2 linked regions of the Notamacropus eugenii genome follow. The protein of the gene in region 2 interacts with the protein of the main gene of each other region in a pairwise test. Links are inferred from orthologs where the notes say so. Each region holds a gene or a part of one and is shown on either strand. Other genes may lie near its edges.

Region 1 (7,294 bases), on a different chromosome or scaffold from region 2:
AAGTGTTTTGTAATTGTGTTCAAATAGTCCCTGGGTATGTCTTGGCAAGTAGACTCCAAAGTATTTTATATTGTATGCAGTTATTTTAAATGGAATTTCTCTTTCTACTGAGTTTGGTTGGTAACACATGGAATTGTTAATGATTTGTGAGGGTTTATTTTTAATCCTATAACTTTGCTAAAGTTTTTAATTGTTTCAACTGCTTTTTTTTTAGTTTATCCTCTTAGATTCCATAAGTATATCATCAAGAGTTTTATTTCTCCATTGTTTATTCTTATTCCTTCAATTTATTTTTCTCATTTTATTGCTACAACTAGGATTTCTAGTACAATATTGAATAATGATGGTGATTATGGACTTCCTTTACTTCACCCTCAATCTTACTAGAGAGGCTGCTAGTTTATCTCCATTACAGGTAATGCTTTTTTTGGATTTAGATGAATACTACCTATCATTCTAAGGAAAGCTCCATTTTTTTCCCTATGCTTTTTAGTGGTTTTGATAGGAAGGAGGAGTTGTATTTTGTCAAAAACTTTTTCTGCATCTAGTGAGGCAATCATGTGGTTTTTGTATATTGTTACTGATATGATCAATGTTTATCATTTTGTTAATATTGAACTAGCCCTATAGTCCTGGCATAAATCCATTCTGACCATAGTATGTGATCTTTCTGATATATTGCTATAGTCTTTTGTTTAAAACTTTGCATCACTATGTATTAGGGAAATTGTCCCTAGTTTTCTTTATTTTTTGCTCTTCTTGGTTTAAGTATGAAATCCATATTTGTATAATAGAAGGAATTTGGTAGGACTCTTTTTTTTTACCATCTTTTTTCAAGTAACATGGTATTGAATTAATTTTTTTAAAGTGTTTGGTAGAATTCACCTGTGAGTCCTAAGAATTTTTTCTTATGGAATTCATTCATGACTTGTTAGATTTATTTTCTATGATATGAGTTATTTTAATATTCTATAGACTCTTAGATTAATCTGAGAAATGCATATTTTATACAACTTCTACCCATTCCATTTAGATTGTCAGTTTAATTGTTATATGACTAGTAGCTCCTAATAAGTGTTTTAGTCACCTTCATTGGTTTTATAACCACTCTTTTCATTTTAGAAGCTAATTTGATTTCTTCTTTTTTATCAAATTAGGCAATGGTTTATCTATTTTATTGTTTTTTTCATAAAGCCAGCTCCTAATTTTATTAATTAGTTCAATTTTGTTACTTTATTAATCACTCCTCTGTTTTTTTTTAAATTTCTATATTTGTATTTAATTGGGGATTTTTAATTTGTTCTTTTTCTATTTTTTTAGTTGCATGCCTAATTCCTTGAACTGATTCTTCTCTCTTTTATTCAGGTAAGCATTTAAACATGAAAATTTCAACTAAATACTATTTGACTGCATCACACACATTTTGGTATGTTGTCTCATCATTGTCATTCTCTTTAATGAATTCATAGATTCTTCCTATAAATTTGATCTTTGATCCACTCATCCTTTAGGATTAGATATTTGATTGCCAGCTAATTTTTAATTTCTACTTCCAAGGTCCTTTGTTGAATGTAATTTTCTTGCATCATAAAATGAATAGGGTAGCACTTAGCATTTTTGCTTTTCTGCATGTGTTTGTGATGCTGTTATGCCCTCATAGATGGTTAATTTTGTGAAGATGCCATGAACAGCAGTCTATCATACCTAAACTTTTATAAAATTTTATTCATATCCTTACTTTAGTTTGTGCTTATATTTTTCAGAGAGGTAAACAGAGGTCCCCATTATGTAATTTTACTCTCAATTTCCTCCTGTAACTCATTTAACTTTTCCTTTATGATTATGGATGCTATGCCATTTGGTTCATATATATTTAGCTATGGTAACTTTTAGTAAAATGTAGCTTCCCTTATTGTCTATTTTAATTGTCTGTTATTGCTTGTTTTGTCTGAGTTTGTCATGATACCCCTGCTTTTTTCACTTCTGCTGAAGCATAAAAGATTCTGCTCCAGCCCTTATATTTAAATTCTATAGGTCTTTTTTTTGAAGTGTGTCTTTTGTAAACAATATACTATTGGTTTCTGGTTTCTAATCCATTCTACTATCCATTTGCATTTTATGAATAGTTCATCCCATTGACATTCATAGTTATGATTGTTCACTGTGTATATTGCTCCATCCTTTTTTCTATTTTTACTTTTTTTAACCCTAGCCCTTCTCAAAAGTCATTTTTGTTTCTGACCAATGACTCCTTTAATTTACCCTCCTCTTCACTTTCTCTCCCCTCTTTTCTCATCGTCTTTCTTCCTACTTCCCTTTTGGGTAATATGGATTTCTATACCCAACTGATTTTGTGTGTGTGTGTGTGTGTGTGTGTGTGTGTGTGTGTGTATGTGTGCATGTGCATGTGTATTCTTTCCTCTTTGAAATAGTTCAAATGAAAGTGAGGTCTAATCTACACCCCACTCCATTTCTACTTCTATTGCAAAAGAATTCTTCCATGTGCACTTCTTTTATGTGAGACCATTTTTTCACATTCTTCTGCTTTCCCCTTTCTCTTATTTCTTTTGAGAAATTTCAATATAAAAGACTCACACCCACTATCTAAGTAATCTAAGTAAACTCCTTCTAATTACCCTAATGATGATAAAGTTCTTAGGAGTAATGTGTATCATCTTCCTATTTAGGAATGTAAACAGTCTAACTTTCTTAAGTTCTTCATGATTTCTCACTTGTGTTTACTTTTTTATGCCTCTCTTGAGTCTTGTGTTTGAATGTCAAATTCAAATGTCAAATGTCAAATTTCAATGTAGCTCTGGTCTTTTCATCAGGAATAACTAAAAGTATCCTATTAAATGTCCACGTTTTCCCCTTGAAGTTGTAGTCAGTTTTGCTGGATAGGATATTTTCATTGTAATCCTAGCTCCTTTGCCTTCTACAATATCATAGCTCAAGCTTTCTACTCCTTTATAGTGGTAATCTAACTGTGGATCCATGGTATTTGAATTGTTTCTTTCTGGTTGCTTTCAGTATTTTCTCCTTCATCCCAGAGTTTTCAAATTTGACTATAATAATTATGGGATTGTTTTATTTAGGGATCTCTTTAAGGAAGCGATTAGTGAATTCTTTTGATTGCTAGTTTGTCCTCTGGTTGCAAGATATCTGGACAGTTTTCCTTGATAATTTCTTGAAATATGATGTCTTGGCTCTTTATTTTTTTTTTTTTTATCATTGCTATCCAATGGCTATTCATGGTTAATTCAATAATTCTTAAGTGGTCAGAAAGAACCGTTTGATTTTTGTTTTACAGACTTTTCCAGAAATTTCTCTTCCTCAGTCTTTGAGCAAAGCAGGGAAAGGGATTACTTTCCCTCCCCTTTTTAGTGCTGGTGTCCTTGCTAAGAGACACACCTTAGCTTACATTTACTATCCAATATGATTCCTAAATTTTCATTTCTCCAAGCCAGACCATAACCTGGTTATTTTATGGATACTTACAAAAACTGTTCTAATGTTCTGGATTTGCCAGTTTTCATCTCAAGTTTCTCTCACATCCCAAAATAAATGAGTGAATGGAGAAAAGGTACAGAAGCAATCTAGGCCCAAGATGCAAGGTCACTGATTGTGTTAAAAGACGGCAAAACTACCATCCCTTTCCTATATAAATGATACTCAAAATCTGAAAAGGGCAAAATGTGAAAAGTGCCCCATATTCTAACATACTCCCCTCAGGGCAAAATGTGCAGTCCCTGCAAATTACTTGGAGTACACCAGAGCATCTGTGGCCAGAAGAGGATGCCCAGAAGAATTCCAAGGGAAAGTACAAGCTGTTACTCCCCCTGACTCCGTAGCCAATCATCTTCAAGATTCTCCTCCTCTGACCAATCAGGAATTGCTGTCCCTTAAGGAAGAGGCCAGTGCATATGTCGCAGAAAAAGGGAACCGAGTGTATCTCCACCTCCCATCAACAAGTTGCATCACTTGCCACGTAAAAACATGAGCCAATTCAGTCCGAATGTTTTAGTAAACTAAGACAAAAACAATACCCCATAACTTTTAACACGTAAGATACCACAAAAGGTACTACAGTTTAGACTTCTGCCTCTCACAGTCCAAGCACAGAATGACTGCAAGGAAGAAGACTGGGCAGGAGTGGGCTGGAAAAGCTGCTTCTTCCAATCACCTGATTGGTCCTCCTGTTTGCCAGTCAGATGGAAAGGGGTGGAGCCCCAGAACACCGCGCTTAATGTAAGGACCGCTTCTGATGACGTCATTATAACGCGACGCAAACTGAAGCGCGAAAGGGGGCGGGGCTCAACAGGAACCTCCGCAGCAGTTGGGGAGGTGTCATGGCTGCTCCTGTGGGGCTATCGGGGCACCCCCGAGGCGTTGACAAGAACCCGGATCAGAGCTTCAGCTTCTACCGCGAGGTGCTCGTTGGTTTCCTCCACTCCCTTCGCACCCTGACAGGGCAGGTAAATGACGGCGGTCTCTCTCTCTCTCTCTCTCTCTCTCTCTCTCTCTCTCTCTCTTTCTCCCTCTCTCCCTCTCTCCCTCTCTCCCTCTCTCCCTCTCCTCCCCCTCTCCTCTTTCCCTCCCTTCTCTCTTCTCCCTTTCTCCTCTCCTTTAACCAGAAATGGGGGTTGACCGAGGCTCAGAGCTTGGGGGCGCTTTGGGGATTCCCGCCCCAACTACAAGACCATTAGGGTTCCACCGGGACTTCTCTGCTGCTACAAACCTGCTCAGATTTCTCTTAACACTCATTTGAGGGGTGACTTAGGGGGATTCCCCTTTCTTCTCCCCCCACCCCCCCAAAAAAAGAGAAAAAGAAAGGCAGCGAGCGAAGAAGTGGGCAAGAGAACCAGGCCTGGAGAGGAGGAAGGCGGCTAAGCCCCCTCGGTGGGGCCGGCCGGAGCGGGGAGCTCAGGATCGGGCGTCTGAGGTGGAAGAAGCTTCGCTTAAGCCTCTGTGAGGAGAAGGAACCCGGAGGCAGCAGAAGCCTCCTCTCTGGGGAAAGGTTGTTCCCCCGCTATTTTTGTGATTTGATATAATGAATACTACTTTTGTTTACGTTTTTTTTTGCCTAGGGAGTCATACAGCGTTTATTAAAAAAAATAATAACTTATTTACTCATCTTGAGACTAGGATACTTTTGATGCCTCTTGGGTGTAGTTAAGACGAATTGGGTAATGGAAGACCACTTAGTCGCGGTGTTTGGCAATCATTTTTACTTAAAAATGCAGAATTAAAAGCCGGTTATTTATTTACATTTTTAAAACTCATGTTTAAAAGAAAAAAATTAAGCACTTCTTGTAACCATCTGTTCAATTCCTACTAGGAGATCTTGGCGTATTTAAATTATAATTATATGACCTAAATAGAAATTGGACATCAGTCTTTTTTTTTGGTTAGTGACCTTTCATTAGCATAGAAAACATTTTAGCTGTTAAAAACAAATAGAAGTCTCCCAAGTACTGGACCCGATAACAGTTGCCTTAATAATCAGTGTGATAAACTAAGTTCATAAAATAATCCAAGCTTCCGATTTGTGATGGTAGCTTTGTTCTTCTGATTATTTTTGCAAAGTGTGTTTGTGTGGGGTAAGAAAAAAATTCACTTTTCTTTTTATCCATCCAGAGTTTGTGATATTCAGCCAAATTTCGAGCAGTTATTTGTGGAAATCATTAAGCAGCATGCGTAGTCAGACTGTTTTTTTCAAGTACTTGATAATTATACTTTTTAAGTTTTTGAAACGATATGACTTAAAAAAGAATTTTATTTTAAACGTTAACATTTTAGGCCTTAGCCATTCTAACTTCTTTTAAACAAAAGATAAAAACAAAGCAGTTAGAGCGTAATATTGTGAATTAAGATGGGTTATTATAAATATGAAATTACACAAAATTCTGTTATTTGCAAATGAGATAATTTTTTCGTATGATAGGTGGAATTTTAAAAGAAAGTTCATGCAGTAAATTATATGAAAGTTAGTGCAGTGAATTATGTAAAAGTTTTCACATTCCAGAGATATTTTCGAAAGCATATTTCCTGCAGATTATATTTTTATGTGTTTTCCAGAATCTCGGTTCCTGTATTGTCCCTTGAGTAAAATTTACATATTATACGTCACTGTCAAATGTGTAAATATTATTACTTGTATCTGACACGAAGAAGATGATATCAATCAAAAATTAGGTCAGTTAGATGGTTAATCAAAATATACTGACCACATTGATAATTGTCTGTGTTTTTGAGTTATTATTTAGAGATTTGAATAAAAGCAAAAGTACTTATAGTATCACTTTAGGTCATTATTTGCTTTTGCAAGAAGCTAAATCATAAAATTTGCATGGTCATCTTTGCTTAAGGTTAGTGTTTATGATGTTCCTAATTACTGGTATTGTTTGTTAGGGAACACAGTTTTAAATGTGTTAATGTACATGCTAACTCAAGTCGTGAATATTCTTAATTTTTAACTTTATAGTTTGTACCCATTAGCCCTTTGACTATTTTTCGTTTGTTTTGAACTTGAATATTTTAGTGCTTTTATTAATTTCTCTGCAGTGGCAAAAAAAAAGGGGGGGTCCTATCAATGAAAGGCTAATAAAGGTTTTGGAGTCAGTCAATTCTTACATTTTCTATAGTACCAAATGTTTAAATTAATCTTGTTAATTAAGGTTACAGTGAATAGTCATTTTTTTTTAGTTGAAATTAAAATTACCCTTGTATTTGAGTGAAGGATTACATGGGGTTTTTTTAGATTCTTTTTTTAAAAATGAAAACAATTACATTGAATTGAAATCTTAATGCTTTTATAATAAAATTAATATAACCTTCATTCTCTACAAAAATTTATTGTTTGGACTTCATGGATTCATTACCAAGTAAGGTGCTTATATTTACTGTAATCAGATTTTTTGGTAAGATGTACAAATACATCAATTCAGTGAATATATTAAAGGTTTGTTATCTGAAATCTCTTTATATGACATTTTAGAAAATACACATTGAGATTAATTCACACGTCATTGCCTCATATTTCTTTCTATATCTCTGGAATAGACTTTTAAAAGTTAGAACCACAATCTAAATAACTAGTGTCTTTTATATCATGATGTTCTTCCATTTGTAGCAGAACCATTTTGAATTGTTTTGCAGTGGGTTTTTTTTTTTACATTTTATCTCCTGCATATAAACTTATGAAGGATTTATTATATTGTCTTTTATAAAAATTAATTTGTTGCATAAGTAATAATCCAAACCAGTTACATTTTTTAAAATTGATGTTACAGTG
Region 2 (7,176 bases):
GAAGGTTGGTCTGGTCCTTCCGAATAATATGGGGAAGCATGGTGGCACAAAATCCTTCCTATCAGGGAAGCTGAGGTTGGTGAACCTCTTGAGCTAGGGAGCTCAAAGCCGCAGTGGACTCTGCTGATCAGTTTCTGAACTAAGTGTGGAATCAATATGATGAGCTCTGGGGAGCTGTCAGGGAGGAGCCAGGCTGTCTAAAGAGTGGAGAATCAACTGGGAAAAAGCTCTGGTGCAGATCAGGTACTATGTTTCTGTCTTAGAAGCGGACTGGAGATGGAATTTGAAATAGCCTAAGACTGAAGTGGGAAAATACGTAAGTTCTTGGAGGAAAGCTGGAGAGTTAGAGCTACAGTGACTAAGATCCTGTTAAGGGGTGTCTCTTAGATAGAAAAGGATATACAATGGGATTCCCATATCCAGAAGAGAGGGAAAGAAACCTTGTCAGGGGATATAATTCTCAAACAACATGGCCCCTCCTTACTAACTACCCTGATCTGCTGAGTCATGAAAACTGGTTCTAAAAACAGAGTAGCAAAGTATTCAAATACAAAAGGGTAAGGAGTTCAACAGAGAATGGTAATGGGAAAAAAAACACGCTGGCATTGAGAGAGACAAGTAAATAGATTGTTGAGGTATTCTAGTCTTCAAAATGGGGGAAATGAGATTTAAATAAATGTCAAAGAGTACAGAAATCCATATGACCTGTTTCCCAACAAACTGCTACTTTCCAAGTCCAAAGCATCCTCACCTCAAATCAAATCCTCACCACATCCACACTGGCTGAGGAGAAAGATCTTACAAAATATTGGAGAAGCTGAGGTTTTAAAAGAAGTTTCAGCTACCTGTGTATATGTAAAGGGGTGGAGTGAAGTGGGGGGGGAGAACCCTCTTTTCTCTCATCTAGATGATTCTTACTAGAGACCAATCTTGTCTAGAAGCTGTCCCTAGATACCAGGTAACAAAGGAATGAGAGAAGACTAAATGTAACATTTTATAGACTACCTCTGACCTAATCTCAAATCCTTTCTCCTAGAACCTGAAGAATTTATGATTGGGGATTTAGAGAGAATACAATACAAAAGGAGGGCAAGGGGCCCACATGATGAAGTAGGTATCTGGAAGCACATTTCAACGAAGAAACAAGGAAACATAAAGGGAAAAGAGGTTAAGAACAAGCATATGCTACCAGACACAGAAGGGAATCAGGAATGGAGGAATTTCTGCCAGGTCAAATAGGAATGCTGCTTAAGGGGTGAGTTCAAGAGGAAACAAGAGTCTACTCTGAGGTGCTATTATGAAGACTCTGTGTTATCACATGGTCCAGAATTGAAAGGGAAGCCCAGGATTTAGGAAAGAAATGACAAAGAATCAGCTAAGGAACCTCTTTTTGCTGAAGAAAGATTTAAGGAAGTTTTCTGGAAATAAGGATTCAGATTGGTTAGGCGAAGTTTACATAGTTAACTACTTAGATTAGGGAGTGAGCTGAGACCCAGGTTACCAGAGATGAAAACTCTCTGATGAGAGAAATGCGAGTACACACCATGGCAAACACCAAATCCTTTTTAGTCATAATGCGAAATATGCTTTGGGGAATAAAGGGAGCAGAATGGCTCAGAGGCATAAGGGTCTGTTGGGTAAAGGACAAGGGGGAAGGGAGGGCAGAATCTCTCCCCACATGTGGTGATAGAGGAGAAATATCAACAAACATTTATTAAGTAACTATTTGCTAGGAACTGGATAAAGACAAAAATGACAATCTGCCCTCAAGGAACTTACATTCTAGTTCTTCCAGATGTAGGATAGGCTACAATATATGTTCAAACTCAGGCCTGGGAGGTAGAACAAAAACGTTGGCAGGGTATAAGTTACAAGGATGTCCCCTCCCAGCCCCCCCATATTAGAGAATTAAGGAGAAGAAAATCTTTGGGAAGCAGTGAGTCTTCAACTTCAGTTATTTTACCTATGAAAGGATACCCCAGAAACCAAATTAGGGGTGGGTAGAAAAGGGTGTGGATAAAGGGAGGGAACCTCTGCAGAAATGCCTTCAGAGGGGAGCTTGGGGACAGAAAAGGGTCCTCCAAAGGGACTCCTAAAAAAAGAGCTGTAGGAGAATGCCCAAATAGGGAAAGTTACTAGGGAACATTCTAGAAACAGAAATGCTTTAGGGAAAAATAACAGGGGATGTATCCACTCCTAGGAGAGGGGTCCACTTGAGGTCCTCTTGGAGGAGAACACAGGCTCCGTTTGGGGAATGACATCGGTAATGTAAAAGTGCATACATGTACTGGTCCTTACCCGGATCAAGCAATATTCTAGGTAGGTCTTGCGTGGAAAGTAGAGGTATGGAGGTAGAGGACTTGTATAATGAAGCCATCGACGAATGAGAAAGCAAAATGAATGGCAGAGCACAGACTTCCTAGAGGTCAGGGGGTGCTACAGCTGTTAGAGCTGGGGTTCAGCTTTTTTCTCCCTCAGTTGGGGAATACGAAGTGGGAGGGGCTCTGCCTGAGATAATGGACCGAAGATGGGGGTGGGGGTGGGTTACACAAAGACACAATTCAAGTCTCAGCAGCCCTAGGTGACTACAGAAGGGAAGGTCAGCGGTGCAATGAGCAGCAAGGGTGTTCCTGCGCTGAGGTCCCTGCCCCGGGAAGGAGGGAAGAAGCAGGCGAGGGGCCTGGAGCAGCCACGGGGGGAAGGGACGGGGACAGGCCCAGGGAGTGTCTCCTGGAGGTGGGTCGGGGGGTGGCCGAGGAGGAGTCCCGACAGCCCCGCGCTTCCCCGGCCCGCAGGCGGGCAGGTGTCCCCGGCCGGCGCGCCGCCTCACCTTGTAGAAGGCCCCGTTGGAGCCACGCACCTCGACCGGCAGCCCCGGCTCCATGTCCCTCCCGACAGCTAGGCCGCCCATGGAGGGGCCGCCGCCTGCGGCGGCTGCTGCTGCTGCTGCGGCGGCGACTGCTCCTCCTGCTCCTCCTCCGGCGGCGGCGGCCTGAGCTCGGGCCGGGCCGGGCCCCCTGCGTCGCCCCCCCGGGGGAGGAGGAGGAGCTGGCGGGGACGCCGCAGGGGGCGGGAGCCGGGCAGGCCCCACACCGGCCCCGCCACAGCCGACGAGCAGGGGGCCGGGGCCGGGCCGCTCCCCGTCCGCCGCCGCCTCGGTCTCCGCCACTGTGAGGGAAATGGCCGCCGCCGCCGTCTCCTCAGCCACTGCCTCAATCCCGGGAAGCCGCCGCCACCACCACCTCCGCCGCTGCCGCCGCCGCCGCCGCCGCCTCCGCCTCCGCCTCCTCCTCCTCCTCCTCCTCCTCCTCCTCCTTCTCCTCCACCTCCCTCCCCCCTTCCTTCCCTCCCCCTACCGCCGCCGCCACCGCCGCCGCCGCCGGCGCTACTACCTACTGCGCAGGCGCGCTCGGCACCCTCCCGCCCCGCGCCCAGAGACAGGAGAAAAAACACGGCGCAGGCGTCGAGGAGCGCGTGACCGTGAGTGGTTAGCGCGCGCACCCGAGCTGGAGCCTTTAACCCTAACCCTAACCCCTAATACAACACACCGCACGCACGCACGCACGCACACAGCTACGCTTGCGCAGAAGGGACCACCCCTTCCAAGGGCGTGTCGAAGGGCGCAGCGGCTGCTTATGTCACTTTCTCCCACTTTCCCTCCTCCCCCAATTTCTCTTTTGTCTGCCCAGCTGCGCAGACTCGTAGATGCGAGGGAAGGGAGCCGGGGAAAAGGTGGAAGGAGTCAGGTCGAGGTGTCCGCTTCGTGCGCGTGCGCCGGCGGAGCGGCCGCTGCGGTGCTCCTTCATCCTTGGGGCTTTAAACCTTTCATAGCGTTGGGGGGGGGGGGGGGACATTAGTGGGAGCGGAGTCGGGACGTATGTAGCCTCTAAGTGCCGGCACTGGCTGGATGTCCGTCCGTCCAGCGCACGCTTGCTTCCTGTTCGCTGAGACATTAAAGGCGTGTAGAACACACACATACACGAAATGCGCTTGTTAAAATGCATTTTAAAGCAATCCGTAATTTAAATGGTGGAATTAAATCATCAAATGAGAGGCAGAGGGGTGTAAAAGCCCCGAAGGCAAGGACATAGGTCTTCTAGTCACTAGCCCTGCGGTCGGGGGAAACCACCTAAATACTTTGTGGGGCAATTCTCTGACTGTCAGAATTGGCAGAGGAAGTTTCCTCACCGGGAGTTCCCCACAACAATGAAGTCACAGGTGCAGCCTTCGTCCCTTTCCCCAGACAAAAAAAGAGCCCCTGCTGGCCGGAGCGAGCCAGTCCGTGCTGGAGGGCCGGGGCGAGTCAAAGGGAGAGAAGAAAGAACAGGATGTTCAGGGACAATGAGGAGGCAGTAACGTGATGCTGCTGGAAAGGAAGGAGCGAAAGGCCGGGGCCAGGCTGGCCAACAGATCAGCCACCCTGGGGAGTGTCTAAAAATAAGGACTGGCTGAGATTACATTCTTTCCTTCTGCAAATACAGCCCTTGAGGGCAGCAACTTTTCAAAGTTTTCCGGAAAAAAAAGCTTTTGCTCCCCCAGGGTTTAGTGCAGTGCCTGGCACACAGTAGGCTCTTCATGAATAGTGAACTGAATTACCTTTAGGAATCCCTTCTATCCTGTGGCACTGCGGTAAGAAATGGAGATGAGATGATTAACACTTTGTCCTACCCTCGAGGAACTTAGTCTTTTAGAGGGGTTTAGATCTGTGCACAGATAGGTAAAATGCAAAATAGGAAATAAGTGCATAGGAATTTAAAGTGCTAGGAGATTTACTGGGATTTCCTCCAAAAGTGATTCCCCCCTCCCAAATACCCCTCTTGATCTGGGGTAATCTCAATTCTTCCAGGCTCCAAATCTTTTGACTCAATACTTTTCAGTCCCTTATGCTTCTTATATCCAACAAAGATACCCTTTGCCTTCTCCCCATGTGAGCTGAAGCAGGAAGGGGTGGGGGTGGGGGTGGGGGTGGGGGGGCAAAGTTCTTTTCCTTAAAAGGCACTGAAAACTGTCCTGGAGACTTAATTGGCTCTGGGACTAAGGCTCAGGACACTTTCAGTAGCTTCCTGGTTGCCTAAGAACAAAAAGGGCCAGATGTAGGAGCTTCAACCCCTCCCTCTGTTCTGACCTTGGACCAGCTTGACCAACTTGGTTTAGGAAAGTTATGCTCAGCTGAATCAACATTACATCTTCCCTAAATATCCTTCTCCTGCTCTTGAAATATCTGTCAGATGGACTACAAAATGCCACATTTCATCCTAATCTCAGACCGGAGCCACTTGACCAGCCTTTTCAGCTCTGGCCTGCCAACTACGTATCTATTTCAGTATTTAAAAGTCCCACTCTACTCTGGAATTTGATTCCCCCAGTTCCAAGTGTATAGAGTATTTTGTGTAATCACAAGTGAAAATAGGGTTCAAACTTCAATCCAGTGCCTTATCTACCGAGCTAGAGTCATTCATTAAATAGCAAACTATTTTAATAGGTAGTAATAGCAATGTAAATAATAAAGGAAACTCATGCAGTTGAATAATTTTTCAATGCTCTTACACAAAAGAATATTCCCACAGACTCTTGCACTGATGAGAAAATTCCTCAGACAACTTATGATATTATTTAAGAAGGGATTCTGTGCAGTTGAAGCACCCAATATCTTCTTCAATACAAGGAATGTTTTAGCTCTTTGGTGAGACTACTCCTAATCAAAGTGCTGAGGGGCTAATAAACACACTTAGCTCTTGTTAAACATAGTGACCATACCTGGTTGACACTCAAGCAACTGTCAATATCTTTTTTCCCTTCACTCCATGCCACTCCCACTCCACCAAAGAAAACCCCTCTATCCTTCACTTGGTTTAGGATAAATGAATTCATTTCAACTCCCATCATAGAAATGAAAGTTAGTGCTTGGGCCATACAGATTATCTTGAAATTCCAATAAACCTCAAGGAGTTATTTAGCAATGTTTGGGGGATGGGGAGTAGATGTGGAGATGTGGGCTTTTGCCCTTTATCCCTGTTTATTAGCAGTGGTTCCTGTCATCCTTATCTGGGAGGCAACCAAAGCCTGCTTATTTTTTCTGAAAAATTTTTCTTCTATCCTTTAATAAAAAAATGGATATTTTTTTTAACTTTGAGAGTAACCTGTGTCAGACTAAATTATTGGGATTTTTAAGTGGATAATGTGCAAATTCCATTTTCTCATCTTCCCTTGGTTGAGAGGATGAAGGAATCAAGTTGGATTAGGGATTACATTTTTCAAAATCTACCTTTCAGTCAGAAGGCTGAAGTTTTCTTTGCCACTAAGGATACAAATAGAAAAGGCCAGTGTTCTTCAGATGGATAAATAACTAAATCCATGGGATTGTTTGGAGTCAGAACATTTTCATTTTGGGACTAATGGGAAAGGGATCTTTAGATTCTGTAGCCTAGAAGAAATTACTAAAGGCCAAAAAAGGCTTGAAGAAATCTAGAGGGAGAATAGTGTATAAGTTCCATCCTATCCAGTCTGGTACTAAAAAGTTTTCTTTTTACTCTAATTTCTAATTCCTTCATATATGTTATTTCTGAATTTGTATGTCTTATTTACCCTTATTTTAAAAAAATCTAGAAAATGCACTCCTGTGTTTAGTAGAGAAAGGGAGTGGTAATAAGAAAAAGAAGTGGGAGGGCAGACAGACCAGGGTGTCCAGTTAAAATGAGAGCAACAGAAAGTAAGTAATTAGCCACTGATTCTGACAGATCTCTGAATTTGGAGCCCCAAGCTGATTCAGAGAATGAGGAAGATCTGGAGAAATGGTTCCTCAATCAATGATCAAGGAAGGATTAGAAAGATGAAAATATTGGGAGGGAGGTATGTGTGTTTGTCCTTTGTTGCCAAAGAAGACCATGCTATCAGAGAAATAATGATATGACTTGTACTTGACTTTGTTCTGAGTGAGGAAGGGTTGTTCAGGTCACCAACCTCACTTCTCCTCCAGAGCCATCTGAAAACAGTGACCAGATATTCATCAGGATGACTGGAGATGACCCAGGATGAGGCAATTGGGGGTAAGTGACTGGCCCAAGTTCACACACCTAGTGAGTGTCAAGTGTCTGAGGTGAGATAGAACTCCTGCACTAGTACTCTATCCACTGCACCACCTAGCAGCCCCATTCCTGGGAGGGCTAGTTCTGTGGA

Evidence for each region. The genes of interacting proteins can lie anywhere in the genome.
Region 1: the proteins of FXR2 (region 2) and MBIP interact in binary tests that used the Homo sapiens proteins (3 or more experiments, as listed by UniProt). The two-hybrid records come from large-scale screens. The link is inferred for Notamacropus eugenii from reciprocal best matches to the Homo sapiens genes FXR2 and MBIP.

Annotation. Positions count from the first base shown.
Region 1 is NC_092872.1:329,005,450-329,012,743, reverse strand, and holds the start of MBIP (MAP3K12-binding inhibitory protein 1), read left to right. Parts: upstream 1-4,278; 5' UTR 4,279-4,349; coding exon 4,350-4,475; intron 4,476-7,294. UniProt on the Homo sapiens protein: Inhibits the MAP3K12 activity to induce the activation of the JNK/SAPK pathway. Component of the ATAC complex, a complex with histone acetyltransferase activity on histones H3 and H4.
Region 2 is NC_092873.1:78,374,507-78,381,682, reverse strand, and holds the start of FXR2 (RNA-binding protein FXR2), read right to left. Parts: upstream 3,013-7,176; 5' UTR 2,912-3,012; coding exon 2,831-2,911; intron 2,389-2,830; exon of another isoform or gene 2,299-2,388; intron 1,833-2,298; exon of another isoform or gene 1,780-1,832; intron 1-1,779. UniProt on the Homo sapiens protein: mRNA-binding protein that acts as a regulator of mRNAs translation and/or stability, and which is required for adult hippocampal neurogenesis. Specifically binds to AU-rich elements (AREs) in the 3'-UTR of target mRNAs.